4 linked regions of the Oryzias latipes genome follow. The protein of the gene in region 3 purifies or fractionates together with the protein of the main gene of each other region. This does not show direct contact. Links are inferred from orthologs where the notes say so. Each region holds a gene or a part of one and is shown on either strand. Other genes may lie near its edges. The genes, in order: prdx2, park7, sod1 and hexb.

Region 1 (7,721 bases), on a different chromosome or scaffold from region 3:
CCTTCAGAGCCTTGAGGGCCAAACGAGAGGAACAGATTTATTCGTTTCTGTGATCAAAACCACAGTGTTTATACTTTTGAAGAAGATAACTATTTCTGTTATTTTCCTGTTCATGTGATTTCAATTTAGAAGTTTACTCAGAGCATTTAAATTGTGGAAAAATATACTGTACATGTCAGGAACTCAGGTTTATGTTGACAAAAGGTTTTCTTTTCAAGACAGACTTTTAATTTTAGTCTAAAACGTATTTTATTTTTGGTGTTCAACTACGAAATTCACAATAATTTTGATTCAAAACCGGCCCTTTTAGAGTCAAAGCTTGCAGACGCCTGCATGCTATCATCCACACTCTTTCCTGAACCCACGCGATAAGAAAAATAATAATAATAAAAAAAAAAAACACGCGATCAGACAATTGTCGCGATGAGTCGTAGAAAGCATTTTCTTTTCCAGGTCTCTTTTTATTTTGTTCCTCGTTTCATTACCAGTTTACCATTTCGATTATCGTACTTTTTCGTTAGTAGGATTAAAATATAAAAACGTACAAAGGTATTCGATGGATTTAGCTAAGATAGTACTCTACTGTAGTACTAGCAGCCGCCATTGTTTGTGTGCTGCCTGCTACACTGCAGCAGGTACAGCAGTGACTGCTTGATCCGTTTTTATTCAGTTAAATACCGGAAAGTTTTATAATCTACCTCACAGACACGTGTTAACTTCATAACACATTTATTAAAGTCGTGAATCTACTTAAAATCTCTCAGAAAGTGCCTGAAACATCAGGATATGCTAGCTCACCGGAAGTAGCGCTCCACAGAGTTCTTCTTCTATGGATTTCACTGTACCAACCCATACATACCAACGCACTACTGCCGTCTCCCGGAAGTGTTGGGTTACTGCATTAAAATGAGACTTGACCCGATAAAACTGTGGGTGATTGGCATTTCCTACCTACTGCTAGGGGGGACTGCCACATCTCATATTACTTGCTTTTTCGATGACAGACTTATTACTGTTTTGTAAATGTGTGTATGAAAGAGAACATAGTTGTCAAATGCAAAAGTATTTTAAAGGCCCACTCCGATTTCTAACATGTTCTTGTAGCCTTTTTCTGATGGAAAAGGACAAATATAAAGAAAATGATGCTCAACATTGGATTTCTGAGTATTTCTTTATTTAAATCACCTCTTCTGAACTGGTATCTGGATCTAAAGCGGCTCACCGTTTTTGTTGCACAGGTAATATTAGGATGGGGGTGTGAGGGGCTGTAAGCTAGCAGGAGCTCGCAGCATAAGTGAGAGCTCTCAGTCATGGGCGACAGGAAGGGACAAAGGGGGGCAAAAAAACATCACTGAAAAAGGAACAGGAAAGAAAACTGACACTGCTAAGTGATGATTCGAAACAGGTTGGCAAAACAGAGAGGACTTGGACCTGATCCACTCTTTTTTTTAAGGCCACAAATACAAAAATGTAAATAATAATTACAAACTGGACAAATATAAAAGACTGACATAGCATAAATAAAGCAACATTTACAATGGACTGGATTTCAGTCCGCAGATCATCTTTATTTCATCTATTTCCACACACGTTAGATTACAGTACAATAAGGCTGTGCATTGTAAATGTCACAAGTTTCATGTTTAATTTGATCTTGAGTTATATTGTAAGCTATTTATTTTAAAAGTTAGCATGTTGGGCACTTTGAATTTACACTTACAGTAAGGTTTCCACACTAACCATTCCCAACCGACTCCACCACATTGGAATGACAGACGACCGCTGCAGGTGACCCCACCCACACCAAGACGCCGCCGTGAACGTTTGCAATACAGACCATGTTACCTGGACGATGCAGCCACGGTCTGCCGTCCTGTTCACGGATGAGGGTCGGGTCACCGTGCAGAAAAGATGGTCACCAGCGTTGCTGGAGAACGCGAGGTGGAGCGAGACGATGAGGTCAACATGGTCTCCAGGGTTCACTTTGGTGGGGGAGGAGCAACAGTTTGGACCGGCATCACCAGGTTCTTGTAGACGGTCCAGTCACTGCAGGTTCTGACCTCAGAGACGTTATAGAACCATCATCATCCCCCAATTCCACCAGAACACCCCCAACTTCCTGTTCATGGATGATGATGATCCACCACATGGTGCCAGAACTGTCACAGCTGGACTTCAGGAAGTGGGAGTGGCTTTTCTAGTAGCCAGCAATGACCCTTGACCTGAACCCAATAGAGCAGGTCGGGGATCAGCGGAAGCAGAGACATGCAAGTGACCTGAGCAGAACTGCATGTAGCACTTGTGTAAGAGTGCTATTGACACAGTCAATGTCTGTTATTTTGGTTTTGTTTTAATTCTAGGGGTAATAAAAATCAACCTGATGAAAATTGTGTTTCTTCTTCACTATTAGTGATTTCACATGATTTTTTCCCTCAATATTCAGACCGAATAGGAAAAGTCCTCGTGTAAATAACAACGTTCCTAACTCCTTAGTAGTGTCACTGCTTTAGTGAGCCCCAACGCACAAACTTCTTCCAAAGATTTCTCAGGGCCGAAGGAGCGGCTTTTATTTTGAAGGGTGTAGTACTTCCGGGGGCGCAGCTGTCGGGGTCTACTTGTTTCCACGCAGCCGCGCTTCTTTTCTCCAGAAGCTTCAAACCTTCCTCCGAGTTCTCGGCGGGCAGTCAGGTGTGTTGGGAGTGAACGGGGTCAGTCTGGTCTGACGTCAGCGTCTCCGGGTTTTGCGGTTTGTTCCGGAAGAAACTGACAACAAAAAAAAAAAGAAGAAAAAACCCGGTTTCTTAAGCTAATGTTTAAAAGAAGCTAGCTAGTAGCGACGGTCCGGGCCCGCCTGCCTGCGGTTCCGTCTTTGTTTGGGTCCGGGTTGGTTCGGTCGAACAGCCTTGGAGACGCGTTTGAAAGTCGCTGGCGGTGCCTTTGATCTAACCGGAGCCGCGCGGCGTTTGTTGGTTTTCGACCAACTTAAGAGACAATGAAGGAACATGTGTGCTTTCTTTGTGTGTGTGTGTGTGTGTAACACTTCAGGTAATGAACTTTGAACTTCAGTTAAACAACCTTTAGTCTTCATTCCCGCCTTAAAAGTGCGTCTCTCTTTTTTCTTCTTATCTTTCTCCTTTTGAGTCGTTTAAGGCTGTAGGTTCCGCGCGCCTCTTAAAGGCTTTTGTTCTCCTGACTGCCGCGTGACCTCCTTGAGGAGGAGGGGGGGGGGGTGCAGGGGGGATGAATGCAGAGATCTCAAACCGTGAGACTTTGTTTCAGCTGCAGTGCCTAAACGTGTTGTTTTTCTGTCTTCTTCATCCGTGGATCTTCTAGTCCCTGCAGTTGCTCATCCTCCACCATCATGTCCGCTGGAAAAGCTCAGATAGGCCAGCCTGCCCCAGACTTTAAAGCCACCGCTGTAGTGGATGGACAGTTTAAGGACCTGAAGCTGTCGGACTACAAAGGTACTCCATTATTCAGTATTTGCACCTGCTCCTGCTTGGATTGGTGTCACCGACGCCATCGTTGGGGTAACTGGATTCATCCTCTCTGGGTTGAGTAACCGGTTCCTTCTGTGTGTTTCAGGGAAGTATGTGGTTTTCTTTTTCTACCCTTTGGACTTCACCTTCGTTTGCCCCACCGAGATTATCGCCTTCAGCGACCGGGCGGAGGAGTTTCGCAAGATCGGGTGCGAGGTCATCGGCTGCTCCGTAGATTCTCACTTCAGCCACCTGGCGTGGTGAGTCCTCCTGCTGGAAGAACCGGAGATCACCCACAGCAGCCGCGGTGACGTGTGCAAAATGTCTTTGATCGGAGTAGAATTGAACCGTGTTCATGGGCCCAGAAACACTTTATACGATTATAACAAACGTTTACATATGTCACACTTTTGGTTCGGATTAAATCATTGTGACACGAGCAGAACTCTCTAAAATACCGGAAACGTCTGTAGAAGACGAAACATTGAGTTCTGTTGTAAACAAGCTGCAGCATAGAGGTGATTTTAGTGCTTGTTCACATGTTTTCTTGGCTGCACAGAGCCAGAAGAAGGGTTAGCTTAGGCTAACACGTGCTAACAACAACATTTAGCCGTGGATGCAGTTCAAATCCATGCGGTCGATGCTGCAATCTGCATCTCTGCTGCCTGCATGTAAACATGTGGGAACAACATCAGCCTTTATTCAGAAATAACATGAATTCACAGGATTGTTTCCACGGTTTCTCAGGACTCTGCAGCGTTTCTCCATTGAATAGCCGCCTCCGTTAGCTCACATCCGTCCCAGAGCCGCTCCTCTGCTAGGAGACCCGGTTCTATCGGGAGACCCGGTTCTCCTGAGTCCAGCAGCTCGCTCACGCAGAGAAGCAGGACGGACGGCGGTTCAAAGCCTCTTCTGGAGCGCCACACCGCAACAAAACGCCCCCCACGAAGCTACACGTCTCTGCTCTGATCAGAGACACGCTTCACACGGGTGGAGCAGGCGGTCGGTCCTGTTTGTGCTCCAAAGTCTCCTCCGGAGCGTCACACCGTCTATAGGTGACGTAAACCAGGGCAGCAGTGACCCACGATTAGAGTAAACGGTTTACATGCACCATGATCTGATCAACAATCTGCATAATCCGTGTTGGTGGAACGGCGTATTTACATGACACATTTTTCTTTTGATCTGGCGTTCGTTCCGATTACTTTTGTCCATGTAAGCGCAGCTCCTGATGAGTCAGCGGGTTGCTATCAGAACCTGTTCCTGGAAAAACTGCGTTTGAGCGGGTTGGGAGTCTTTGCAAAGGTCAAGGACAAGTCGGAAAGCTTTGATAAGAAAAGGTCGGCAGGGGAACGCAGGCGGAGGTTTAACCTGTGAGGATCGACGCGTTGTCCTCGAATTTAAATCCGAATCTCAGTTTATGGTGGACTGGGGAACCCCCCACCCACACCCATAAACACACACACACCCACACACACACGCACACACAGGGCGGTGCAGGATTTGAGTCTGCACCGGCAGTATTTACAAACGTGGAGCAATTCTATAGGAACACTTTCTAACCAGAGAGCAGATGTGGTACAACAGCTTACATCAGCTGGTTCTGAAGACCCCCCCCCACACACACACACCCAGGTTTATCTCCGGTCAGGGTCTGGCTGCAGGGTCTTGATAAGTGCTGACCCAACGGTCTCACAGCTCCTCCCTTAAGTTCATCCTTAAGCTGCTCCTCCTCTTCAGTCCGGGTCTTGGTCCAGATTTAAACCTAAAGCCTATGGAGTAAAAACCTGCCCCTCCCTGTCAGACGTTAAAGTCCCCCCAATATTCTTCCACTCGAAACTTTTTTTTTCTTTTCCACAAAGCGTTCCCGTAAATGCGGCCCTTCAGGTCAACATGCGTGGTTGCAGGTTGTGTGATCTGAGTTGCAGTGAGCTGCAGTAAGGAAAAGGTGAAGATCACTTCCCTCATCATCACATTTTGCTCAGTTTGACTTGCAGACGTTTGTCGTGAAAAGGGGAATTTTCAGACAAACAACATAGAAACAGGACAGTTTGAACACAAATCTGTCAAATAGTCGAGCTGGACTAGAGGTAAGATCAGGCCTAAAATATCCAGCCCGACCCGACACAGGCCCGCGGGCATTAAAGCCGAACCCGGTCCGAACCTGACCAATTAACTTTAATAACCGTTCAGACTCGAGCCCGGGCTTAAGATTTTACCTCTAAGCTGGACGTGCACAGCTTCATCTGTTCAGAGCAAAAATCTTAAAGTATAGAACTGCAATGTGTAGATTTGATAGGAAAAAAGGAAAAAAGAATGACGATAGTCATAGTTACAGAAAATACCTTGTTTGACTTGGCTTCCTTATTCACATTTCTAATTCCAACCCCATTCCACCCCCCCCCCCCCCTTTCTATTGGGGGCATGGTTTGGCACGTTACCTTAAATATAAAAGTTCCTAAAGTTTTATTTTGAAAGTTCAATGAAAGTTTTTACTTTTTCCGGCCTTTTGCTTTTGATGCGTCGTGGGATTGGAAATGGAACCGTTGCGTTGCAGAGGGACGGACGCCAGACGCTGGCGTGACGGAGGCGACGTAAACATTCCTATTGATTAACCAAGGTTGCACTTGACAGATGGACTGGTGGAAATCTGGCGTCTCTTCATTCAAACTTAGTCTTTTCTTTTTTTTTGCCCATATTCCTTTGCCTTTCAAGACATTGAGCAGAATGTACATCGTTTTGATAAAAAAGGTGGCATGAGAGTTATTTTTGGACGGGAACTTCTGATTGGTTGGAATTTCCTGCCCCAACAAAGATCACATGTGTGCGGGACAAACGGCCCACAGCTGTGGTGCCCTTGAGCAAGTACTCTGACCTCTGCTGCTGGCTGTTTTTGCCCCACAGCTTCGGTTCGCTCTGAAACTTTGTGAACATTGTAAAAGGGGCGGAGCTTCCCTGAATAGAAACGTGTCTGCTTTTTTCGTGAATTCCCTAATATGTTTATTTTATTTTTTTTTTAATTTAAAGAATCCTGTTGGAGACGTGGGATCTTAAGTGGATCTGTGGTAAAGTCTAAACATGTTTTATGTTCCTAACCTGCAAAAGGATCAACACCCCGAGGAAGCAGGGGGGTCTGGGCAGCATGAAGATCCCGCTGGTGGCCGACCTCACCAAGTCCATCTCCAGAGACTACGGCGTGTTGAAGGAGGACGACGGAATCGCATACAGGTCCGATTCTTTCCCTTCCGTCGTCCGGCTTTCTGAGCTGTGGGAGAACGCAGGATCCCAACAGGACGTGTTTGTTTTTGTCCCTAGAGGTCTGTTTGTGATCGACGGCAACGGCGTCTTGAGACAGATCACCATTAACGATTTGCCCGTGGGTCGCTCCGTGGATGAAACTCTCCGTCTGATCCAAGCCTTCCAGCACACCGATAAATATGGAGAGGGTGAGTAAAAAGAAAAACCGTGCACGAACATGCGCTAAATGTGTCGAGTCCACTAAGGCAAACCCTTTTCAGGCGGTTTAATGTCGGACAATATCTTCACGGTCCGGTCCAAACGGGGCCAAAGTTTTACCTTTTTCTTTTTTTTGCTTCCAGTTTCTGAAAAACGTATTTTTCAAATTAAAATGCTACAAGAAATGTAGTTTAAAAACTTTTCTTTTTCAAATGACAAAGATTAAACCGAACAAAGTCCCTGATTTGTTCCTGATCTGCATTCCGGATCGGCCTCTGGTTGGCATTTGGAGGAAGACTCCCTCTTTTGTCTGGAAGCAGCAGTTTCATGTTTCTTTGAAGCCGAAGGCTCTTCTTCAGTTTCCTCACCGACTCTCTTCTCCCCGAAGACACTTTCCAAACACGTCTTATTGTTTGGTTTTTGTTAGCTTTTACCGTTCCGAGCAGCAGCTTATGGTCTCGTGACGCGTCAAGGCGGACGGATGTGGTTAACAGAATCCGGTAGTTTTCCAAAATAAAAGTTCCTTCAGTATCAGGAAATAAACGGAAACGATCTAAGTTGGCGTTTGGGGTTTTTAGCGGTCTCAGGGGCGGGAAACGTCCGCGCTAAAGCACAATCTAGGATTAAACGGTGTTGTATACGGTGGTGTAATTCAGCCGGGGAAGCTTTTGGTTGTTCAAGAACACAGAGGTGTTCATTGTTGAAAGAGCTTGGTGATTGTAAAGGAGACACAACTGTTGGAAAATACTACGAGGAGCTGATCTAGTTCCAGTAATTGAATGTTTA
Region 2 (6,343 bases), on a different chromosome or scaffold from region 3:
GGAGCAGGGTTTGCTCCATGCCAACGGTCTCACCCGTAAACTCGAAGGTGAATTTCTGATGAACTCCTGTCGCTCTGAAGACGCAATGTTCTAGAAAACGACCCAGGTTTTTTGATTTTGGCTAAAAACTGCATATTTATAAGGGAAAGACCACTGGAAAATGCTTTCACAATAGATCAACAGATGATCAGAGTGAGACTTTAAACATATTCAGAAGGATGTTTGTATGATACTGTGTAAGAAGTCATCACAAGAGCAAATGTAGAGATTTTGGCATTAATCTGCGTAACCACACAAGAGCTAAAGGTATGAAGAGTTTGATGACAAAAGAAAAAAACAGACATTTGATAAATGGCCCTCTGTTACAATTGATGCCAAATAATACAGGAACTGTAAAATAAAGAGGAGATGTTTGTTCAGGAAAATGCATTGAGGCAGTGTGATTCATAGGCTTGGATGGTTGCAAATGGCAGTGGAGCTCTGTGGTGAAGGGGGTATTTTGGAGAGGCAGCCAGTGAACTGTGAAAAGTGCAGCTTTTACAGGGCCTGTTGGGATTGGAAAGTTGACTTGACAATGTTTCAGCACAAGTTTAAAACTCCCCCATGCACCTTTTATTAGGTTTCATGTATGAATGGATAACTGATGATTGTATTGTTGTTGTGTATTATTCTTATTTGATTGCTTGAAATAAACCATTTCAAATCAAATTAAATCAAAATGTCATATTTTAATATGGGTTTGGGTATTTTTTTTTGGTTCATTGGGAACTATTATTAGTCCAAAGAGTTTAAGGAATGCCTCTTACTTGATTGAAATAAATCATACGCCGTCAGATTTCAAAGTTGATTAAAATGTGGTCATTTTCAAATATTTTACATAAAAAACCCTTGTTCCAAAACTACTGAGAAAACTCACAAGTAGTTTGATTTACTTGTTTGCTTGTAGGTTAGGGGTAAAAAAAAAAGATTGAATGATTTAAAAAAAACATCGATCTTTAGCTTTAATTAATTAAATCAATTGAACAATTTTACTTTAAAGTCATTCTTACTTTTTGTGGGGGGTAAAAAAAATCCTTAGTTCATTTTCTATGATAAAAATTATGATTTTTGTTGATGAAACTTCCACTTTTATGAAGTCCACATCCGTGGTTTTTTGAAAGTTGGTTTTCATCATCAAATAAAAATGGGTTTATATAGAGATTTAGGGGAAGAAAATGTATTGAATCAAAATTTGAATCAATTTAGTGTTTTGGCAGCCGTTGATCGTAACAACGTTTAAGTATTATTACATAAGTAACAGCGTTATAAGTTAAGTAACTGAGTAATTTAAATAATTACTTTTATCCCGGCTGCCACGCTGTTTTAGTCACTTCGTATAGATTGTAGTGCGTTACCTTTTAGTTAATTGATTTGGTTTAAACTTTTTTTCTTTCCCTGAGCGTCTTCTGTGTCACGCGACGGGGGTTGTCCTACTCGAGATCACGATTGGAAAGGGATTCAGGTGGGCGGGGGCACACTGAAGCGCTCCAAGATGTGATTGAGCAGCGCAGCCAGCAGGATCAAATCAACAGGACGTGTCAGCATTTTGAGGCTGGAAATATTACGTTTACTTTCTTTAATTAAAACAAGAGGAACAGATGTTTGTCAAATTCATGCTGTGTATCGGAACAAAGACATTTACCGACGTCCATCTGAAGCCATTTAAATTTAATGAACCACTGAGCCTCAAACTTGTATTTTTTCATCTCACAACCCACCGAGTGTGTGCTCCGGTGACAAAGCAGAACCGTTAACCTTATTGCAAAGTACCCTATGTGGTGGAAATCATGCTTCCACTGATCACTGTTGACTCAGACATTCGGAGATCTGAGCAAAGCCGAAGATGTAAAACGTCCATAAAGTAGATTAATGATGAAAGTGCAGCTAAAGACATCATTTCAGGGGATACTTGAAATATGTTAGAAACATTCTCTTTTATTATCATGCAACATTTGGTTTTGCCTTTATGTAAAATTAATATTTAGATTTATAGTTTTCTTGCTGCAGTTTTGAAGTGTGATATTTCTGACTGACAATGTTAACGTTTAGGTTAAGATTTAGATATTGTTATTTTATTGTTATTAATTATTCCTGTTGCTTTCCATTGTTCCCCTCTATTTCTAAAAAGGAAATTATTTTGTTTATTTAAAAAAAATTGGATACCAGTAACTAAAAGAAGTTGATACTTCAAACCTTTATGTTCAGTTTTTGAAGTTAATATCATTGATTTTTCTATATAGCTTTTTGAGTGTTTTTGTGTGATACTTCAAAATTTTCTTTAGAGTTCTATACTTCAATTCCCTCGCTCTCTGATAATTTAACAGAATTTCATTGGTAGAAGTATACCAGGATACAAGAAGTGTCAATTTCACTAAATTATTGAACTTAAGTTATTAGTTGTTTGTTAGCAGCTGAGGAAAAATATATATTTTTTTAGCCATTTTAAATTATTTTTAAAATGTAGTAACTGAGTTACTAACTCAAATACTTTTTGGGTTGATGTAACTAGTAACTATAACTAATTACTTTTTCAAAGTAAGATTCCCAAAGCTGGCCCTAATGAGCAAAGACGGGACAGAGAAAGAATTTTTAGAAGATACGGAAGGGGATAAATCCAGCAAAGCGGATTGAAAAGTCTCCTAAAAATGTCTGAAAACTGCAAAACACTATGCCAAATTATAAACAGTGTTAACTTCTCCATTTTAATAAAAGTTCTATTTTATTCATTTCTCCTTCATTGTACTTGAGCTGTATCTGAATGTCTTCTATGAGACATGGCGTCTTTTGAGTTGGGACTCGTCTCAGGAGTAGTTTGGACTTTCGGTCTGCTGCCCTGAGTGTGAACAGGAAAGCAGCCAAAGCAGCACGATCAATAGTTTTCTATTAACTGTTTTTGTTTGGATGAGCTCACTGCACTGCTTAGACATGGACAAAGTTAATGCGGCAACCCCACCCTTTTTTGTTGCTTTTTTCTTTCAATAAGCTCTTCAATAATAAAATTCTTGCCTTTTCCTGCTTGAAAATTTGAAGGTTTTTAATCCCAGGTTGCTGCATTTTGCTTTTTTTGGGAGGAAACGGAACTCTCTCAATGCTTTTTTAAATATTACTTTTCAGCAGGAAGCTGTCACATGAGACTTGAACAGTTTTGCACTTTTGCAGGCCCTACCGCTCTTTTAGCCCATGGCATTGGCTTCGGCAGCACAGTCACAACGCATCCTGCCATGAAGGAGAAAATGATGGCTGGAGGTAAGAAGTTGGTGATTTCTAATCTGCTGCTGTCATTTCAGCTAAGAAACGTGTAATTGTTTTTAAACAGCAGCAGATGGTGCTGTACTGGCTGCTCCTTTATCTATAGTCTTCCTGCAATGAGAGCACACCACTCAGAGGTTAAAGCAGTTGCAGGAATTTAATAGAACACGCTAGAACTGGGTCAATTGAAATGACAACAGATAATCCGTTCCTGAAGCACGTTGATGGGCAGCATGTGCGATTTCTTAGCTGCTGTTTGAAACTCCTGTATGGTCATTAACCAAATCTTTCTTTTTTTTTTTTTTTTTTAGATCACTATAAATATTCAGAAGCTCGAGTACAGAAGGATGGACATTACATCACCAGCCGTGGACCAGGAACCAGTTTTGAATTTGCCCTGACAATCGTAGAAGAACTTATGGGGGCCGATGTTGCAACTCAAGTCAAGGCTCCTCTTATTTTGAAGGACTAAATGTTTCCACTGTCACCTAAAAAAAGAGGCCTTGCCTCAGTAATAACTATTAAATTCCTTAAACTGTGTTTCACATAAAACAGTAAATATATTTTTCAGCCCAACTAAGATTCTGAGTGTTCTTCCTGTGTCATAGATGCTTACAAATGCTTTCAAAACGGAAATAACACTAAAATGCATTCAAGAGCTTTTCAAGCAGTCAACATGCTCAGCGTATTTCGACAGTTTAATGTTTTTCAAACTAGAAATAAAAGTTGAAAGTGATGGATCTTTGTAGTGTTACTTGTACTGTAGGTCACTGACGTGTTTTCGCATGCCTGCGGCGGTTGTTGAGACCTAAATATAGACGGCATATTGTGTTTTAACGGGGTTACAATTCAGAAGGCGGGAAGCAGAAACCGAATGGATTGACGGTTCAGCTGACCAATCAAATCCCCCAGCTTGGCTGCAGTTGTGGCTCAACCGACGAATGGCACGCGGCCGGTGGGCGGGGCTTTGGAGTCAGCGCATGGTAGCTGTTTCAGAGCAACACAATCCGGAGGGTCTTCATCTCAGTCAAGAAGGAAGAGAAGCGTTTTGACGAAGGTAAGAGCAGTAGGTTTCGGAAATACTTTGGTTATTTGGGGTTTTGTCAACGAGTAATACTCACCCGAGGGGCTTTAAACGGCAAGGATGGTCCCTTAAAAATTTCATTCATTCATTGTGCGCAACGAAATCACATAAATAGCCACTAAAGGTGTGTAGAGTTTAAAATTAGGTAAGATTGTTAAGCTACAGCCGAAACAAGCAGCTGTCTGTTACAACAGTAAGTGTGTGTTTGCCACTAGGACTCATTGTACTCGCCGTGATTAGCCTGCTAAGTGTTCAAATAGGTGAACATCAAGTTCGCTGCAGTTCTTGTATAATGGGTTGAATTCAGCTTTTTTTTTTTTTTTTTTTAAACTGGCCCGGTGGGGGAGCGGTGGCGGCATTACGCGCTCTGATGTGCTGAGACTAAACGCACAAGATTGAGTCCTCACGCCGGGAGATGGCTCTGCAGAGATGGGAGCCGACATGAGACGTCGGTCTGAGGAGCCGTCCGTCCTCAGCAGCCACCGTAGTCAGCCTGAGCCGCAGAAGCTGCGTTGTGGAGCTGATGGGAGTGCGGCAGAGGCCAGCTTCAGTCCATCAGACCGAGCGAGGCATCCCCGCCGCCGCCGCCGCGAGGAAACCAGCTAGAAAAAACCTTCCGCTCTAATATAGGACCATGTTCAAAACGCAAAACTGCTGCCTTTTAAAGAATAAAAAAAAGACTTTTGCCTGCTAAAAAGGACAAGTCAAGATGCTATCTTAGTTGTCTCGTTTTACAATGGGAGGAAATGCAACCCTAGTTTTTACCTAACAGCATTTTCAGAGTGAGAAAGTGCCTGACAGTACTGCCGGACTGCAGGCATTGTTTGCAAAGCATGCAAAAGTCAGAGGTCATGATTAGAGAGCAAGTCAAATGGCTTTTTAACACATCATTATGCAGTCTGACGTTCCCTGTTACACACTTTATTTGCATTTTTTTTAATTGATCAAACTCAAGAAGGCGAACTCGGTGTATTGATTATATGTCTATATATGAATACAAAAAAAAATCAATACCCTTGCCATAAAACGGTCTTCAATATTTCATTTAATGCTGTTGCTGGTATGTAAAAGCAACATCAGCCCATTAAGTGCCTCAGCTAAAGAACCAATATTTGCCTCTCCCTGGAGGACAAATGCTCTTCTGCCTGGACAGTTTCTTGACAGTACTACACAGTCCCAAACATGCAATATTTGATATTTGTATATTTCCTGATAAATAACATTTTGCACTGTTGCACATAGCATGTTAGAATTATTCTGCTTGAGCAGCTGTACAGTAAAGAGCTTGAGGCTTGACTCCCTATTTCTGGATGGGGCAGAGCGGGGTAGGGTAAGGCTGTAGTCTCTGTGACTGAGTCATTGGTTTAGCTAATGATGCAATTAGAATGCTTCACATTGCATCTACTGATTAGACCATAGGGTTCTCCATAGAATGTCACTGCAGTAGTACTTGTACCATTTGGCTTAAAAGGACCTACCGGTATATCTACTCATAAGGAAACGGTCATGCTTTGAGGACAAAACCTACTTTTAAACCTTTATTTTTTCCCCAAATGCGTTTAAAAAGCATTTGAAATGATGTCATACGAATTTTTGAGGATTCCATTGAATCTTGCAAGGGAATTTTGCAAGAATGTAGTTATAAACTAAGGAAAAGGAAACTAAGCTGTTTATTAACATTGTTGAAGCCAAACTATTGGCACGAAACACAGCTCAGCCCTAAAGCAGCAAGATTTTTTTCTTTTTTGGACAAATGTATCCAAATTGTCTCTAAGTTGGAACTAAAAAAAAGTTTTATAATTGTTTAATGTACAATACAAAACATTACCACAGTTCTTGAATAATACATTATAAGGGTCTAACCATTCATTTTAGCGATTTAATTCATTTCATATGTCGTTGCTGGTCCAATTTATAGTCAATAATGGTTCAATTTTAATGATCCAATTCGATCTGATTCACTGACCTAAA
Region 3 (7,696 bases):
GTCTTAAAGCATTAAAACGCCCTCAAGTGGAAGAGAAAAGCATTGCAGCTTTCCAAAGTCTAATCGTCGCTCATATTTCTGGCAAAGACAGGCTTCACAACATTAATTTTAAGTGCCGTTTAAAGTGCTGTTCATTTGTTTTTGACTCCACATTAAAAAAAAAAAAAAAATCAGGATCCCCATGTGACCCATTTTTGCAGGATAATGAACTCAACATAAAACATTTCCCTTTTTTGTAAACCTTACCTATTAATAATTGCTGGTCTAAAATACAGTGTGGTAAATGGAGCAAAGATTATATCCTTGGGAATGTACTCTTTTAGTGACCTCAAGTTGAAACATGCCTGGGTTCTGACCCAAAACAAAACCCTGAATGGCTTCAGAAAATATATGAACATTTAGTGGTTTAGTAAAGACCTCTCCAAAATTCTGATGGCAGTGAATTAATGCATATGTTCTGAAACCCTCCAACATGGACAATTTTAAAGTTTTCCAAACTCTTCTGGTCCACAGTCCTGTGAAAGTCTCCTAACCACTTCTCGTAAAGGCTTGACTGCAATTGAAACTCATATTTTCACTTTTGTGTGGATTTTGTGGCATCTTTGACTAATATATTATTAGTTTGATGCTCTGAAACATTCAAATGCAACAAACGTCAAAACAAATATCTACGATGAACAATATATGCAATCAAGGGTTAAAATGATTTTGGCGCCAAGATAAGGTTGAAAAACGTCACACCCAATTTGATTTAAGTGGGGTTTTAGTCATTCTCAGTGCCCAAATGAGACAATCACAGTAGATATAACCCATTTTACTTTTAATAGAAGACATACAGAAATAACTTGTGCGTTTCCAATTCTTTGGGACCACTACACAAACGAACCCATACATACAACTGTCCAAGGGAACAATGGCAAAGCATGGCTTGGCTAGTTTATTAGTCCAGAAGAACAAAACTAAGGACTAGCTGTTACATTAAGTAGCTTTGTTGGTCTCATTAAATGCCGTGGGAGGAAGCGGCTTTCAGTGCGGTTTTGAACATTTTACTGAGCGATGCCGATCACGCCGCAGGCCAAACGCGCTCCAGCATTTCCAGTTTTAAGGCTTTCATCATTTCCACCTTTTCCAAGATCATCAACTTTCTCATGGACCTAAATGATTAGGACAAATAGGGCAGGAAGAAAAATACTATCAGCTTTAACAATTTATACAATAAAAAATATTAAAAACAAAATTAAAAAGTAAAAACTTACCACCACAGTTCTGCCAACAATAGAGTCTGGACCTGAGAGTCTGATAAGTTTGTCCGTGATATCTATTTTAGCAACGTTATTATCTCCTGCGGTCACATTTCCCAGGTCCCCAACGTGTCTGTTAAAAAGAAAAAAAAAAAAAAACTTCCTTTATCAAATAAATTCAAATAAAAACTTAAGACACTTAGATGTGGGGGGGGGGGGGGGGGCAGGTTAGATAGATTAGTCAGTTAAAACCAACTAGATGCATTTCAAGTTGTTAAAAAAAAAGAAGCTTACTTTATCTTTAAAAAGTATATTCCTACTGAATAACTACCAAAGAAGTCTGATTTATTTTTAAAGCACTTATCATATGCGACTAATGGAGAGTGCTTTTCAGAATAAATTCAAATTAATTTTATTTACAAAGCACCTTTCATGTCAAACAGACAGCTCAAGGTGCTTTCCATAAAAATAAAAAAAAACAAGAATACAATAAAAACAAACCCCGCACATGAAGTAAAATAATAAATAAGCCCCTTAAAATAAAACACACAAAAACAAGCACAAGTAAAAGAGAAATAACAGAGCTTAAGAAAAGAGAACCCAGAATAAAAATCTAATAAACTGAGGCCAGACACACTATCTCAGTCTTTAATAACTCAGCTCAATGCAGAGCACCGTTCATGATGCAAGTTGTGCAAACAACCCACAAACGCTGAAGTTCCACTGGAGCGCTCAGCTTTGTCAGACTTTGCTCTCCAAAACTATTTGTTAAGGCTACCATCGGTGGATTTGGAGTTAATTTAATCCTCATTCAAGTTAGATATGTGCATGTAGGTGAGTCAATGTGATCTTTTCAAAAGACATAAGCACAAAATTCAAAGGCCTAGAGTGCATTTTACTTCATGTATCCCATTTCTCAGTGTTTTAACAACCTTGGTTTTCCAGAGCCCCCTTCCCAGCATGCCTCATTTGTTACCCAACTGTCAGCACAACTCCATCAGCTTTAAGTGATTTAAATGTGAGCCGTTTAAGCTTTAGAAGAAATAAATAAACATGCAGGGATTAGGAATAGGACATTGCCGAGAGAGATAGAGATTGATTTATTTACTGTGTCAACACCAAGTTGCATGGAAAATGGGATGGCTCTTTTCACAAAGTTTCAGAAATTAGCTGATTCGTTAGATAAATCATCCAGAAACGTAAGCTATAGTTACTTTCAAGCAAGTAAGCTTGATCACATATTCTAAACATCGTCACATCATGCCCAGTGTAAAGGTAGCATGATAGGTGATTATAACAGCAGTGAGTGATGCAGGCAGGCAGAGTAATTACTAGCAGAAGGAATCAAGTTTACAGAACCGTCATGTTATAATTCTGTCCTGGTATACATCTATAAGCACTCCAATTTATTAATGGGGAGGGATAAAATAAAAATTCAAACCAATATCAGAAAACTAATAAGCTATAGAACCAGGTTTTGCATTTACTTCGCTACCCTTTCCCACATGACCCTCACCTTTCTGCATCTTCAGGACCCCCGTGGTTCTTGTTGTATGGGTTGAAGTGAGGCCCTGCACTGACGCACCCTAGAAAAAGAAATGTTTGGGGGGACGGGATGTGGAAGCTCGTCAGATAATATTAGATTTCATTTACAGCATTTTCAAGAATCCCAGTCACTCATCGGCTCATGAACTCACCATTGGTGTTATCTCCATACACGTGGATGTGGAAGCCGTGCTTGCCTGGTGTGAGGCCTTTGATTTCTCCAGTCACCTTCACAGGGGCTGAATCGCTCTAAACACACACACACCAAATACCGTGGCTACAAAATAATTCAATCTACTATTTTAGACTGTCTTATGCAAAAGTAGATCTTCAGAAAATGAAATATTGACCGCAGCTCAGACATTTATCTGTTTTTACTACGTGAGAAGTCTAGATTGTTAGCAACGCCAAATAAGTTATTAGAAACAAACAACAAGTTGGTAGACTTCCTATGACTCAGCAACAACATTAGTATATTGTGGTATTTAAGGTTGGATGGGGATAACAATTCTAAAAATGTATCTTAAAAATAGGAAACTAAACAGAACTGGCGCCATCAGTGTAGTAACGGTAACCAATGACCTCATTTACGCAACCACAGGCAGTTGGACCGTTAATCATTACAAAACCCAAAGTCGTAAAATGTCTAAAGGTTGTGCAAATTTAAAACATGGACCTCAGTCAAATTACTCGAAGACAACATGCTTAAGGCCGACAACAACAGCTCATGATGATGATGATGTACGCATTACTTTTTCAGTACGGAGAAAAAAAAGAAATAGTGGTTCATTAATTCTGTACACTACTTATTAAACGATTGTAATTTTGCAAGCTGTTGCCGGTTTTGGCGAAACATAATTAAGTAAAAGCAAACTTCCAGCACAAAAAGGCATTTCCTAATGTGGATAATGATGTATTAGCATCCTAGCTAGCTTAGCAATGAAGAGCTAAATAAGCAGAGGAGATAAACATTAAGCAAAGGTCACGTTTGCTAACTTTGGAACATAACGTGAGACAAAGTTAAAGCTTTAATACAAAACTTTACCTCCTGTTCAAAATTAACCACGCCGTTGGTTTCTCCTGTTCCTTTCAACACACAAACTGCTTTCAGCACCATTTTTGCTCAAGTCTCTCAAGACACTGCTAGGAAAAGGCGACCAATTACAGTTATGAAAGGCGAGGCTTTGTAGGCGGGCTCAAGTTGGAAATAGCCAATCAGATTCCGAGATGAATGTCAAATAGTCTGTTTGGATTGGTCGAAGAAGATTCCAGAAGTAAAAAAGCTATGAATCATGGGAGTACGAATTGCATGTGAAGTTTAATTATTAATGTTAATATCTTTAATTGCGGTTAATACATTTTTGTAAAAATTTTATCTATAAAAGATTTTTATATAGAAATATTGTTTATGTTTGAAAACAATCAGAATAATAAGAATAGTTTTTGCACTCTTTTAAACAAAAACAACTTTGGTTCTGGTCAGATAACAGCAACTTATCAGTTGCTGCTGAAAAATCTATCAAGTTTTTATACCCCATATCATTGAACAATTCTAACTTGAATCTCTTAAATCTTTCCAGGAACAATAAATTAAGTTGTTTCCCCCCCAAAAGATTAATCTGGCACACAATCTTCTATTTTTCAACATTTGTATGGAAAATAAATGTTTTTGTGTAAAAGATGATGGGAAAATAGGGCAGGCTCACTAACTGCTATTTTCTTTGCTATGGCTAGCACTAACTGCTAGCAATAGCAGTTAGTGTCTGGCCAGTCACAACTCAGAAGAATTTTGGATGAACGTCTGCCACTCTGCAGAAACTACGTCATAAAAAAAAATCGCCTAAAAGCAACATAACTGACGTTAAAATAGATCAAAAGATGATTGGACTGCAACTTTAATAATTTATTTGAGATTCCCATTTATTTTAAAATGAGAAAATTTTTCTGCATAGATTAGTGCAAAAGTGAAACACGTTCAAAAAATATTTTTCCATCATCAAAGACTGTCGGTCATCCCAAATTGTCCTTTTTTTACAGATGACTTTCTCTGCTCAAGCAAAATAAGATGTGACCATGGGTTAAAATACAGGACACAAAAACCATTTTGGTACAAAAATAGTTTATTAAAAAGTTTCCTGTGGCTGAAACATTGACATATTTATGTCCATGTCTTCTGTACTTTAAACAAGCCATAAAAACATCAGTCAATTCTCAAACCACTAGGATTTAAAAATGTTAAAGCAAACAAATGCGTGTTGTTCCTTCTGCATTTCATCTTGGATTGAACATGTAACATTATTAACAACAATTACCATAACACCTTTAAAGTCATCAGTGAAAGAAGCATATTTACAGCAGTGTCCAAGGCAACAATACCCTTCCATTCATCAAATTAGTACTGTAGTTCCACACTTGCTGCCTTTGCATTAACCTAAGGAGGAGTGGGGAGGTTCGTTTGTTTGTTTTTAAATCTGGTGATCAAAATGAAACGTATTAAAATGATTCAAAAATATGAAAAGTGACAGCTGTAAACCAAGTCCTTCAATCCAACTCTATGAACCCGGGGGAAGATTTGGTAGAAAAAAATTATAATAATAATAAATTGGGGATTTTTTGGCTTTGGGGAAAAAGTTTCTTCAAGACCAAAAGATAAACTCAAAAGGTAAACTTGTAAAAGTATGCAGACAATACTCATAAATCCTAAGCGACACGTGTATTTTTGCACATCTAGATTATAACTTCACCTTCACTGTTCCTAAACAGAAGAATGGAAAACCCACAAGGCAGAATGTGATGAGACAAAACTCATTCCCAATGCGATTTTGACTGCACTTCACTTTAGAATAGATTTTTCATAAAACCTAAGCACAGTTCAATTGCCAAAACAACCTGTATAACGAAAAGTTTTATCACTTCTAGAACATTGAGGTTTTTTTTAACATTTTGTCTGTTCCAATTTTCATGCAAGTAAAATGCCACTTGACTGTATAAGCACAATATATAAATGAAGCTTTTGCTCAAGGCTAGTTTGACCTAAAACCATACAAATTGGTGTGTAGTCAAACATTTTTGCACAGGGAAAATGTCATTAAGAAACAGAAATTAAAAGAAGATGCTACATCAATGGTGTCTAATAGAAAAATTGAATAGTTTTTTATTAATTTGGAAATGTATTAAAATGGCAAAAGAAATGTTTACAACCGTCTGACATAAAGGATCCTACCGGATAAGTCTGCACTCTGTTTTTTGTTCTGAATTTCTTTTTATAGTAGTGGGAATGCATTTTAAACACTCAGCATAAATCTGTGGATTATGAACATAAACGTTTGGACCACAGTTGACCACGACAGATTTTTCAGCAACCAGAAAAATAGCACATTTAGAGCAGTTTGTTTTTTTCCTGATCATAGTTGACTCAAATGTGTACCAAAAAAAGGGAAACCACTTCATCATAAAGCTGAATGTGAAGTTTTTAAACAAAAAGTATGCATTTCCCTGTTGGTACCACCCCTTTCTAATATTCAATACCCAAATGTATTTCGTTTACTCCTTATGATGGCACTGCATTGACAACTTCGTACTAAACACACAACCTAGAAAAAAAACAACGGAGCCTCTATTTATAAAAAATCTGAGATGATATTCAGTGTTTGACATTTTAGCAAACGAAAGACATTTTTCTAAAAGGAAAAAAAATGAACTTGGTTAAAAATGTTTTTTTCCCATTAATAAAGTGACTCACATCATTTTAGCCACTTTTCTTCCACAAAAAATAAAGATAGAAAAAATAAAAGAATTTCAAAAAGAAAAGTTGTTTTTTAATGCAAATGCTACATTAAAATGAAAGGAAAAACTAGAGTTAGTAGCCAATAATTCACTACGCCTTGTTTGTTTTGAGATGCAGTCCAATTCTTTCACATCACCTGATGCTGGAAAAAAAAACCTACCTGTCTAACAAAGTGTGTGGGAGTGATCTGTTTACAGAAAATGTCCTTTTAACCCAGAAATGGTTTATTCCGACCTGAAAAACAGGTTTTGCTTTAAAATAATTTATGACACGGTTGATCCTGAACGTTATAGCCTTTCGTTTATGTCTGAAGGCCTAAGAGCCGGCTTCCTTGTCTGCTTGTGTAGACTCGGTTTGAGCTGAAGGGGAGGTCTCCGTTTGCTCGGGATTTTCTGCTGCAGTGGTCAACTCCATGCGCGGAGCTAAATGTTCAGGTTCTTCCTTCTTTTGAAAGGGTACTACCTCTGGTACTTTAGTGGTCTCCACAAGATTTACACTAGTTTGGTCTTTGCTGTTAGGTGTCCGAAATCTGTCCATATTTACTATTTCAGCCAATCGATCGTCCTTATCCCACCGCGTGGTCCTTTCTCGCCGCTCTGGCCGCCTTGGCTTGTCGCCTTTCCCATCATCTCCTCTGCTTCTTTCCCGACTCGCCGCTTCTCCTCTGACTCTTTCGCTGCCCTCCTCCCTCCCTCGATCCCTTTCCCCATCTTCACCCCTCCCTCGTTCTCTGTCGAGGCTGCCTCTCTTCTCCCTCCAGTCCCGTCGATCTCGGTCTCTGTCACGATCCCTGTCTCTGTCCCATCCTCCTCCACGGTTGCTTCCATCTTCCTGCCAGCCCCCAAGCCTTTCCCTCCCATCCATTTTATCATTAGCGCTTCCTCTGCCTCCGTCGGCAAACGGGCGCCGGCCACCACCAAAACTCCTGTCCCTCTCTCGATCTCGGTTTCGATCCCAGTCTCTTTCTTGCTCACGATCTCTTAATCCAGGCCTGTCCCCTCTAAATGGTCTCTCCTCGATTTCTTCTGGCTCTTCCAGGCCTCTAGGACCCCCAGGTCTGATAAAGGGAGAAGGAGGACCTTGAGAAGGAGGACCTTGAGAAGGAGGAGGACCATGCCCATGT
Region 4 (7,653 bases), on a different chromosome or scaffold from region 3:
GTTTGCTCCTGATTCACAACGATTTGAACAAAGAAATACTCAGAAATGTCATTTTAAGCTTAATTTTCTTTATTTATGTCTTCCATCATCAGAAAAATGCCACAAGAACTATCTGTCATTATGGAGAAATGATCTGCTACTAAGCTGAGCTCCATACAAAAGCAAAACCTTTAATAAAGTAAACACAAGTTCAAGTTCCACAAGCTAAACGGGAAAGAGAACTAGTTTTCTGTCCCCTGCAGCGTCTGCTCAGTCACTCACTAAACAAAGTAAAAACCCGTCAAACGAGTTGACTTATTTTCCCAGGAGCAGCGTGACAGTTCTTGGATTTGAGGTTGCAAAAATATCATTTTTTTGGGAGCCTGTTCTCTCAGGAGAGCAGCACCCAGGTCAAATGTTTGCACATGTTGCCATGATGCTGCCTACAGCTGTTAGCGTTTAAGCTGTCAGACTTTACAAAGGTCAGTTGCATGAAGACGATGGTTCCTCAGCAGCACAGAGATAAAAGGAGCCTCTGTTTGAAAGGCTGGCCTGATCTGATCACAAGATCCCAGACTGTGGTTTCAAACTTTCCTTTGACTGAATGAAGCTACACAAATGCAGCTCATCGTGAAGAATATTTTTGTGTCCCTGTTATTCCATTGAGCGCATTTCATTTTACTGCAGGAATTTCACTGTCACAGAGCAGAGCAACATTTCTGCCCACCTCTTTTTTCCCTATACCCTCCAAGCCATTGTCACATAGTGATGTCTTAAGGGGGTAAAATACAACATTTTTAAAATCCGCCGTGTGTTTCCTCATCTGTCTCACCTATTTACACAACAGCTGCTTTTCTTCTGTTATTCTACAGCAGCATGAAAAGAAATGTCACCCAGAAGTAGATTCTAGATGTTTCTTTTAAAAACTGCTACACCTTTTCTGTCATTAGACTGAAATGGGTGGTTATACATTGAATATATTATTATTGTCATTTTGAGTTATTTCCTGTTTTAAAAAGTATTGTAGGGGTTTTTCCAATGACAATAGATGGTTCAAACCTTTGACTGTATATGAGAACTGGCGTTAAAAACGAACGAATCAGATGACTAAATAAAAACATGTTGTCTCACGTTCAAAACGTTTGACAGGTTCTCCTGGTGGTGGAGCTAAAACATTGTATATGTGTGTTTGAGGTCATTTGTCAATGATGATACAAATATTGTTGCAAAATTTGGGGGTCACAGCTTTTGGCTCTGCCTCTGGATAAAACCCAAGCCCGCTTTCAAGTGTTAGGGGGGAGGACTTTCAATTAGCTCACTCCTGATTGGTGAGAGTGGTTGCCATAGAAATACTGTCTCAGACTAATCACTATTTACTGATGATTTCTGGTTCCAATATAGGGACTGAATTCACTTCATTCTGTTCGATCCGTTAGCATGTCGCTTTCTATTAGTAAAGTCATAATAACTTGGTTGGGTGTTCATATAAAGTTTTTTATTTTATTTTATTTTTTTCACAGCAGAATTACCTATAAGACAGTGAGGAAAAAAAAGATGAAACATCGAAGAAAAAAACTGTTAAAAAATATTTTTGAATTTTGGTATTAAGTTTTCCAATTTTTGCAAGATTTATTATAAATTATTTTTGCTATTTAGTTTATATTTCACTTCAATTCAATTTCATTTATATAGCCCAAATTCAAAACAATAGTCATCTCAGTGGGCTTTGTAAGTCTTTTAATGTAAACATACAAACAAAAAGGATCATAAATGCATACAATTCAATAGGATAACTTTAACTAAACAGAATAAACTATACTGGCATCCCTGCCCTTAAACCCTACTTTGCGTTAAGAAAAAACTCCTAAAAAAAAAAAAAAAACGAAATCTGCAAAAAAACGAAGAAACCTCAGGGGTGTCCAGATGAAAGAGGGATCCTCCCCCAGGACGATGTACAAGAACTCATAGAGAAGAACTGGCTTAACCAACTCTAGAACTACATGTTTAAAGTCCAGCAAATGATCTTCATCCAGTTGAAGTTGGGGGACGGCTGGGGGTGCGAGACGAGCCGGAGACAGGATCCTCAGCCAGGGGTAGGAGCAGTAGTAGAGTATATGCATGTAACTGGGCAAAACTACCAAGTTTTGGTCATCTTACTGTTTTGGTTTTTTAGCTTTTTGTCGCCCCCATCTGATCAAAGTAGATAACTGCAGTGTCAGCCTCTGTTAAAGGAAGAATTTCCTGTTTTATCACGTACTATAAAAACTGTTTTTAGTTAAGCTTGTTTGTTTTCAGGTGAGACATTTTACCTTAATGAACATGTAATGTATTAAAAAAAACTCGAACTTCACTACTTCCGGTTGTTCTGAAAATAAAATGTCTCCTTTAAATTTTTGGACAGATTAATTTCCGGATGTAAAGCCCCGCCCCCTCGAAGTACTGTAAATCAGCGATCGGCAGTTGGGTCTCGTGACTCTCCTGCCAGCATGCGCGCGCTGTCTGTGTCCGCTCTGCTGCTCCTGGCTCTCAACTCCTGCCGGGGGACGCAGGACAACCTCCTGGACGAGGATGTCATCGAGCCCGTCGTCCAGGCTTCCAAATACGGCTCTCTGTGGCCTCTGCCGCAGAAAGTGCAGATCTCGGAGGTTCCGCTGAAGCTGAGCGGAGCCACTTTCGAATTCACCGATGCTAAGGGGTCGACCGCCGGTCCGAGCTGCAGCCTGCTGCAGAGCGCCTACAGGAGGTGAGACGCTGCGTTTGCTGCGGCTCGTTCGCTTTTTAACTTGCCTGGTTTGGTCAATAGAGGAGCCGGTGCAGTGGTGCGTTCAAGGACCGGTTTCCCTCTCTCTGCAGGTACTATGATTATATTTTTGGGGGCCCTAAAAAACAGAAGATGAGCAGAAACAGACGAGCTGGCCCCTTGGAACTGACTGAGCTGCAAGTGTCGATCACATCACCTGACTCCCAATGTGATGGTTATCCTTCTGTGACGTCAGACGAGTCATGTGAGTCCCCCACTTCGTGGTATTATGTTTTAAAAATGTTTGTTTTTTTAGGACGTAGAGAATTCTGATTTAAACTGATCCTATTTAATTTTAAGTAAATGGACACAGATGTTGATTATATTTTTTTAATAAAAACAAATTTAGGTCATACTAACAAGCTTTTTTTTGCTTTTCCACTCTTCTTGCACTATTACAAACATTAAGTTCCTTGTCAGGTAAATATTTAATTAATAATAATAGAAAAAAAAGAACTTTTATTCTGAAAACCATAACTTTTATGTTTAGGTTTTTCCCCTTTATCTCATCAAACCAGGAATTCAGTGGGTTTAAGTCACATCTACAATGTATTTTGTTGTTAATAAAAATGTACAATCTTCACCTTATTCAATTAAGATGGGAATCCCACAGGTACCTGTCCTGGAGCCCATGTTATTTTACCAGTTTGTTTACATCCAGTACTGTTCACGTTCACAACTAAAAAAAGTTTTATTGAACATAAACACATTTACAGAACATATAGATAAGTGCATCCACAACCAATGAGCATAAACATTTTCTACATGGAATAGTTAAAACAGAGGATATGTGAATAAGAAGTAATAAGTAAACAAATGAACAGAACTTCTTCTGCGGCTGGCAGAAAACAGGAAGCATAAAGTAAAGGTCACTTTAGTTGATTAAATTCTGTCTAAAACTAAAAGCAAAACAATGGTAAATACTTTTGTAGAAGACTGTACTAAACTGTACTAAAAAAATTTTAAAACAAAATCTTAAATAAATTGTTTTTATTAGTTTTAGGCTAATCTGGACACGTTGAATACCTAAAACATTTAGCTTTCCTGTTCTGTTCTTTGCTGAGGTTTGACCTCAATGGAACCAGCTACTGCTGGGAATAAAGCACAGTAGTCAACATAGTCATTGATCTGAATATTTTCCGTTTTCATACATGAATTGTTTTGTTTTTGAATGGAAATGTTAAATCTGCTATTTTTACTGGAGTGCAGGGATTTTCTAACTACAAAGTGGAGCTTATGTGGACCTTAAACTGAAGGATTAGCGCTGACAAAGTGTTTAAAACCTCATTAAAACCTGAACCCAAACAGAGCTGTGATAAGCAGAAAATGAACGTGCTGTTTACCGCCATCTGTGTCCGCAGATGAGCTGTCTGTGGATGTGCCGGTCGCTGTCCTGAAAGCCCCAACCGTCTGGGGAGCTCTGCATGGTACGACTATTGAACACTTTATTTGAAATTGTTATTTTATCATCATATTTAATGGAAAATGATTTCAATTTCTGGTATTTTATACGTTTTTTAATGTATCTTTGCATCCAGATGTGTTAAACGGTCAATATTTTCTTAGATATTTAAGGCCTATGATCACTTATGTTAATTTATATTTATATATTTTTTGTAAATTCACTAATGGTTTATTCAGACTGGGAAAACCGTTTGTTCCAACTCAGTCCGCTTAATTTGGTCCGGATCGATTCGACTGTCCTGTTCCAGACTAAAGCTACCATGTGACTAAAGCTCTCTTCACTCATTGGTCAGGAAACCACGAGGGTGGGGCAAAGCAACTAGAGTCAGTAATTATGGAAGTCCTGCGCTTTTAGTTCATTCAAACTTTATATTTCGCTCACAAATTTTGAACGCCTGACAATCGTTGTCCGCGGCTCATCTGTTGCTACATTCCTACGGCTACGGTGGCCGTTGTGGTTCCGTTGTTCCGCTCCAGCACCGGATTGTATTCAGAGTGAGGTATCTCAGGGTGAACCAGAGCTCAGTCTGATTGGAAACAAACCGAGACCACCTGGGTCCGAGAGCGGGTTCTGGTCCGCTCGGGTGTATTTAGACTGAATATTTGTTCTGGATTATTGGAGGAGAAGAACTCTGGTCCCATTTAAGCGGACACCACATGTGTCCGGTCTGAACACACTCTATGTCTTAACACGTAGGCATGTTGAAAACACTCAGGCTCTTTGAGTCTATTGAGTTTGCAGATCTCAAGTCAATATTGAGTCTTACAGATAAACTGCATTCCTTTTCATCTGATGGAGATTATAAAATCCGAGGGTCATTCAGGATTATTTTTCTGTTACGGTCTCTAAAGTTTTTACATTTCGTCTCCGTATCAAATGTAAAATAATCTGTTTTTGAATAATTTGCTTTTTAAGTTGCCATATTTTGATGCTTTACATTGTACTTCAGAAACTTCACTTTTTGAGTAAAGTGAGGATTTTTTTTCCTGGGAAATTAAAATTCCAGGAGCAGATTGGGACCTTAATTTATATAAGTATTTGTTTATATGACAAAAAATGTACAGAAAAGTTTGAAAGGAACCAAAAGTTTTTATAAATTATTGGACTTTTGCATTTAGGGTGCTTCCACTTTTCTCTCTAAGCTTTTTTGACATCTACAAAATCCAGGACCTTTCAAAGCAACAGTTGTGTTATGAACTCTTTTCTAAGCTTAAAGACGCATTCCAATAACAATGGCGTTTTGGGTCTTTTTAACATGTTCTCGTGACATTTTCTGATGTTAGAAGACATAGATTAAGAAAATTAAGCTTAAAACTGCATTTCTGAGTATTTCTTTAGTCAAATCGTGAATCAGGAGCAGACAAAAGAAATGCAGTCGTAAAAAGATCTTATTTGTGTCGCAGAAAATAAGCTCCAAGCAGAAACTCCCCGCTCTGTTGCTCTGTGCCAACAGTCCGGCCCACAACATGGAGGTGAATTTCAAGTTTTTTGAAGGACCACCGGGAAATAAAATAGATCAGAAGATGATCAGAGTGGGACTTTAATTGTTCAAAAACAAAAAAAGAGCTTTTTCTTTGTTTATCGTTGAGGTCAAATGTCCACAGCCACACTTAAAAGGGTTTGTAAGAGAAATATTTAATAAATATATGACTATATATTTCTTTTTATATATTTCTTTTTTTTAACCTAAACACAAGAAGTGAATTATTAATAACTCAAATCTACTCGCAAAAAAATAGTAAGTAAAGTTAACTTTTAAGTTTTAGTGATCAAATCCTGTCTATATTAACTAAGGATGTTGGAAAATGAGAATGAGGAAGCATAAATAACATTTAACTATAATTTTTTTGCTTTTAGATAACATTTAATTGAAATAAAAACGTTAAACATGTATGGAAATTTTTTTTTTTATACCTGCCTGTTCCGAATGTCTGTAAGTTATCAGAGTAGAATTAATTTATGTAAATTTTCCCCAAATTTCCCTTTCAGGACTGGAAACCTTCAGCCAGCTGGTGTATGAGGATGACTATGGAGCTGTAAGTGAAGAGCTGTTGCTGTTTGCCTCTGCTCTCACCAAAGGTCTTGCCGTTAAACTAGAGTTAAGGTTTAAAAAGTTTTCTTTTGTGTGCAAAACCTCTGAACTTTCCAGAAAACCATCAATTCCACGAAAGTGAGCGACTTCCCGAGGTTTGCTCACCGAGGCATCTTGCTGGACAGCTCGCGCCATTTTCTCCCCATTAAAGTCCTCTTGGCTAATCTGGTACGACCTTTTCCCAGTGTCATTGAATTCATTAAATTGAATCATTTGATGGAATTTCCTCGTTTATGTTACGCTGTTTGTTCAAACAGGAAACGATGGCCATGAACAAGTTCAATGTTTTCCACTGGCACATCGTTGACGACCAGTCCTTCCCGTATCTGAGCCGGACGTTCCCACAGCTGAGTCAGCAGGTCAGTCAGTCGGCGGCAGCTCTGTTTTGCCATCTTGTTGGGTACGCGGCGTTAACGCCTCGCCATGTTCTTAGGGAGCTTACCACCCCTACAGCCACGTGTACACGCCTTCTGACGTGAAAATGGTGATCGAGTTTGCTCGCCTGAGGGGCATCCGGGTCATCCCGGAGTTCGACACCCCAGGACACACGCAGTCCTGGGGGAAAGGTGAGCCCCTGCCGCATTTAGCCTCAGCGTTTGACTTATTATGATTGTTTTCATTGATGTCTGCCTCCATGTCTTCCCTCTCAGGCCAGATGGATTTGCTCACCCCGTGTTTCTCCGGTGCCACGCCGTCCGGCTCTTTCGGACCGGTGAACCCCATCCTGAACACCACATACGACTTCATGAGCCGCTTCTTCAAGGAAGTGAGCGACGTGTTTCCTGACGGCTACGTTCACCTGGGAGGGGACGAGGTGGACTTCACGTGCTGGTGAGACTGCCGCACAGACCTCCTGATTTCAGACATGGCAGGCCTTAGCTGCTGCTCTCATCCTGCAGGAAGTCCAACCCGGACATTAAGAAGTTCATGGATCGGCAAGGCTTCGGGCAGGACTACAGCAAACTGGAGTCCTTCTACATCCAAAAGTCTGCTTGCTTTTTTCTGAGCTCAGATAGTTTTCCACACTAGAACAACTACAACAATTAGCTTTTCTTTTGCTTTTCTAGACTTTTGGATATCGTCACCACAACTAAGAAGGGTTACATCATCTGGCAGGAGGTCTTTGACAATGGTGTTAAGGTAGGATTCTATATTTTAACAATTCAATTGATAACATAATTTGTGGTTACAATTTTTAGTCTATTGATTTATTTTGAGTAATCTGATTGGCCTAAAATGGATCCAGGTCATCTTTAGCCAAAACCTCAACCAGTGTGACTCAGAGATAAACACCTGGTTCTGAACAGAGCAGGTGAA

What was found.
Region 1: the proteins of sod1 (region 3) and prdx2 fractionate together in Homo sapiens (co-fractionation; 3 studies listed by BioGRID, with this or other methods). This does not show direct contact. The link is inferred for Oryzias latipes from reciprocal best matches to the Homo sapiens genes SOD1 and PRDX2.
Region 2: the proteins of sod1 (region 3) and park7 purify together in Homo sapiens (affinity purification with mass spectrometry; 4 studies listed by BioGRID and IntAct, with this or other methods). This does not show direct contact. The link is inferred for Oryzias latipes from reciprocal best matches to the Homo sapiens genes SOD1 and PARK7.
Region 4: the proteins of sod1 (region 3) and hexb purify together in Homo sapiens (affinity purification with mass spectrometry; 3 studies listed by BioGRID and IntAct, with this or other methods). This does not show direct contact. The link is inferred for Oryzias latipes from reciprocal best matches to the Homo sapiens genes SOD1 and HEXB.

The regions. Positions count from the first base shown.
Region 1 is NC_019859.2:35,387,378-35,395,098, reverse strand, and holds the start of prdx2 (peroxiredoxin-2), read left to right. Parts: upstream 1-2,568; 5' UTR 2,569-2,688; exon of another isoform or gene 2,689-2,708; intron 2,709-3,333; 5' UTR 3,334-3,361; coding exon 3,362-3,464; intron 3,465-3,585; coding exon 3,586-3,739; intron 3,740-6,584; coding exon 6,585-6,925; intron 6,926-7,721.
Region 2 is NC_019863.2:8,958,018-8,964,360, forward strand, and holds the end of park7 (protein DJ-1), read left to right. Parts: intron 1-3,198; coding exon 3,199-3,285; intron 3,286-3,599; coding exon 3,600-3,760; 3' UTR 3,761-3,864; downstream 3,865-6,343. UniProt on the Homo sapiens protein: Multifunctional protein with controversial molecular function which plays an important role in cell protection against oxidative stress and cell death acting as oxidative stress sensor and redox-sensitive chaperone and protease.
Region 3 is NC_019872.2:10,951,592-10,959,287, reverse strand, and holds sod1 (superoxide dismutase [Cu-Zn]), read right to left. Parts: upstream 4,027-7,696; 5' UTR 3,904-4,026; coding exon 3,832-3,903; intron 3,036-3,831; coding exon 2,939-3,035; intron 2,828-2,938; coding exon 2,758-2,827; intron 1,375-2,757; coding exon 1,257-1,374; intron 1,155-1,256; coding exon 1,047-1,154; 3' UTR 799-1,046; downstream 1-798. Other genes in the region: scaf4 (splicing factor, arginine/serine-rich 15), read right to left, coding at 6,889-7,696. UniProt on the Homo sapiens protein: Destroys radicals which are normally produced within the cells and which are toxic to biological systems.
Region 4 is NC_019870.2:5,730,610-5,738,262, forward strand, and holds the start of hexb (beta-hexosaminidase subunit beta), read left to right. Parts: upstream 1-2,426; 5' UTR 2,427-2,465; coding exon 2,466-2,722; intron 2,723-2,832; coding exon 2,833-2,984; intron 2,985-4,140; coding exon 4,141-4,206; intron 4,207-6,233; coding exon 6,234-6,280; intron 6,281-6,393; coding exon 6,394-6,504; intron 6,505-6,593; coding exon 6,594-6,695; intron 6,696-6,769; coding exon 6,770-6,902; intron 6,903-6,986; coding exon 6,987-7,167; intron 7,168-7,235; coding exon 7,236-7,322; intron 7,323-7,403; coding exon 7,404-7,476; intron 7,477-7,653. UniProt on the Homo sapiens protein: Hydrolyzes the non-reducing end N-acetyl-D-hexosamine and/or sulfated N-acetyl-D-hexosamine of glycoconjugates, such as the oligosaccharide moieties from proteins and neutral glycolipids, or from certain mucopolysaccharides.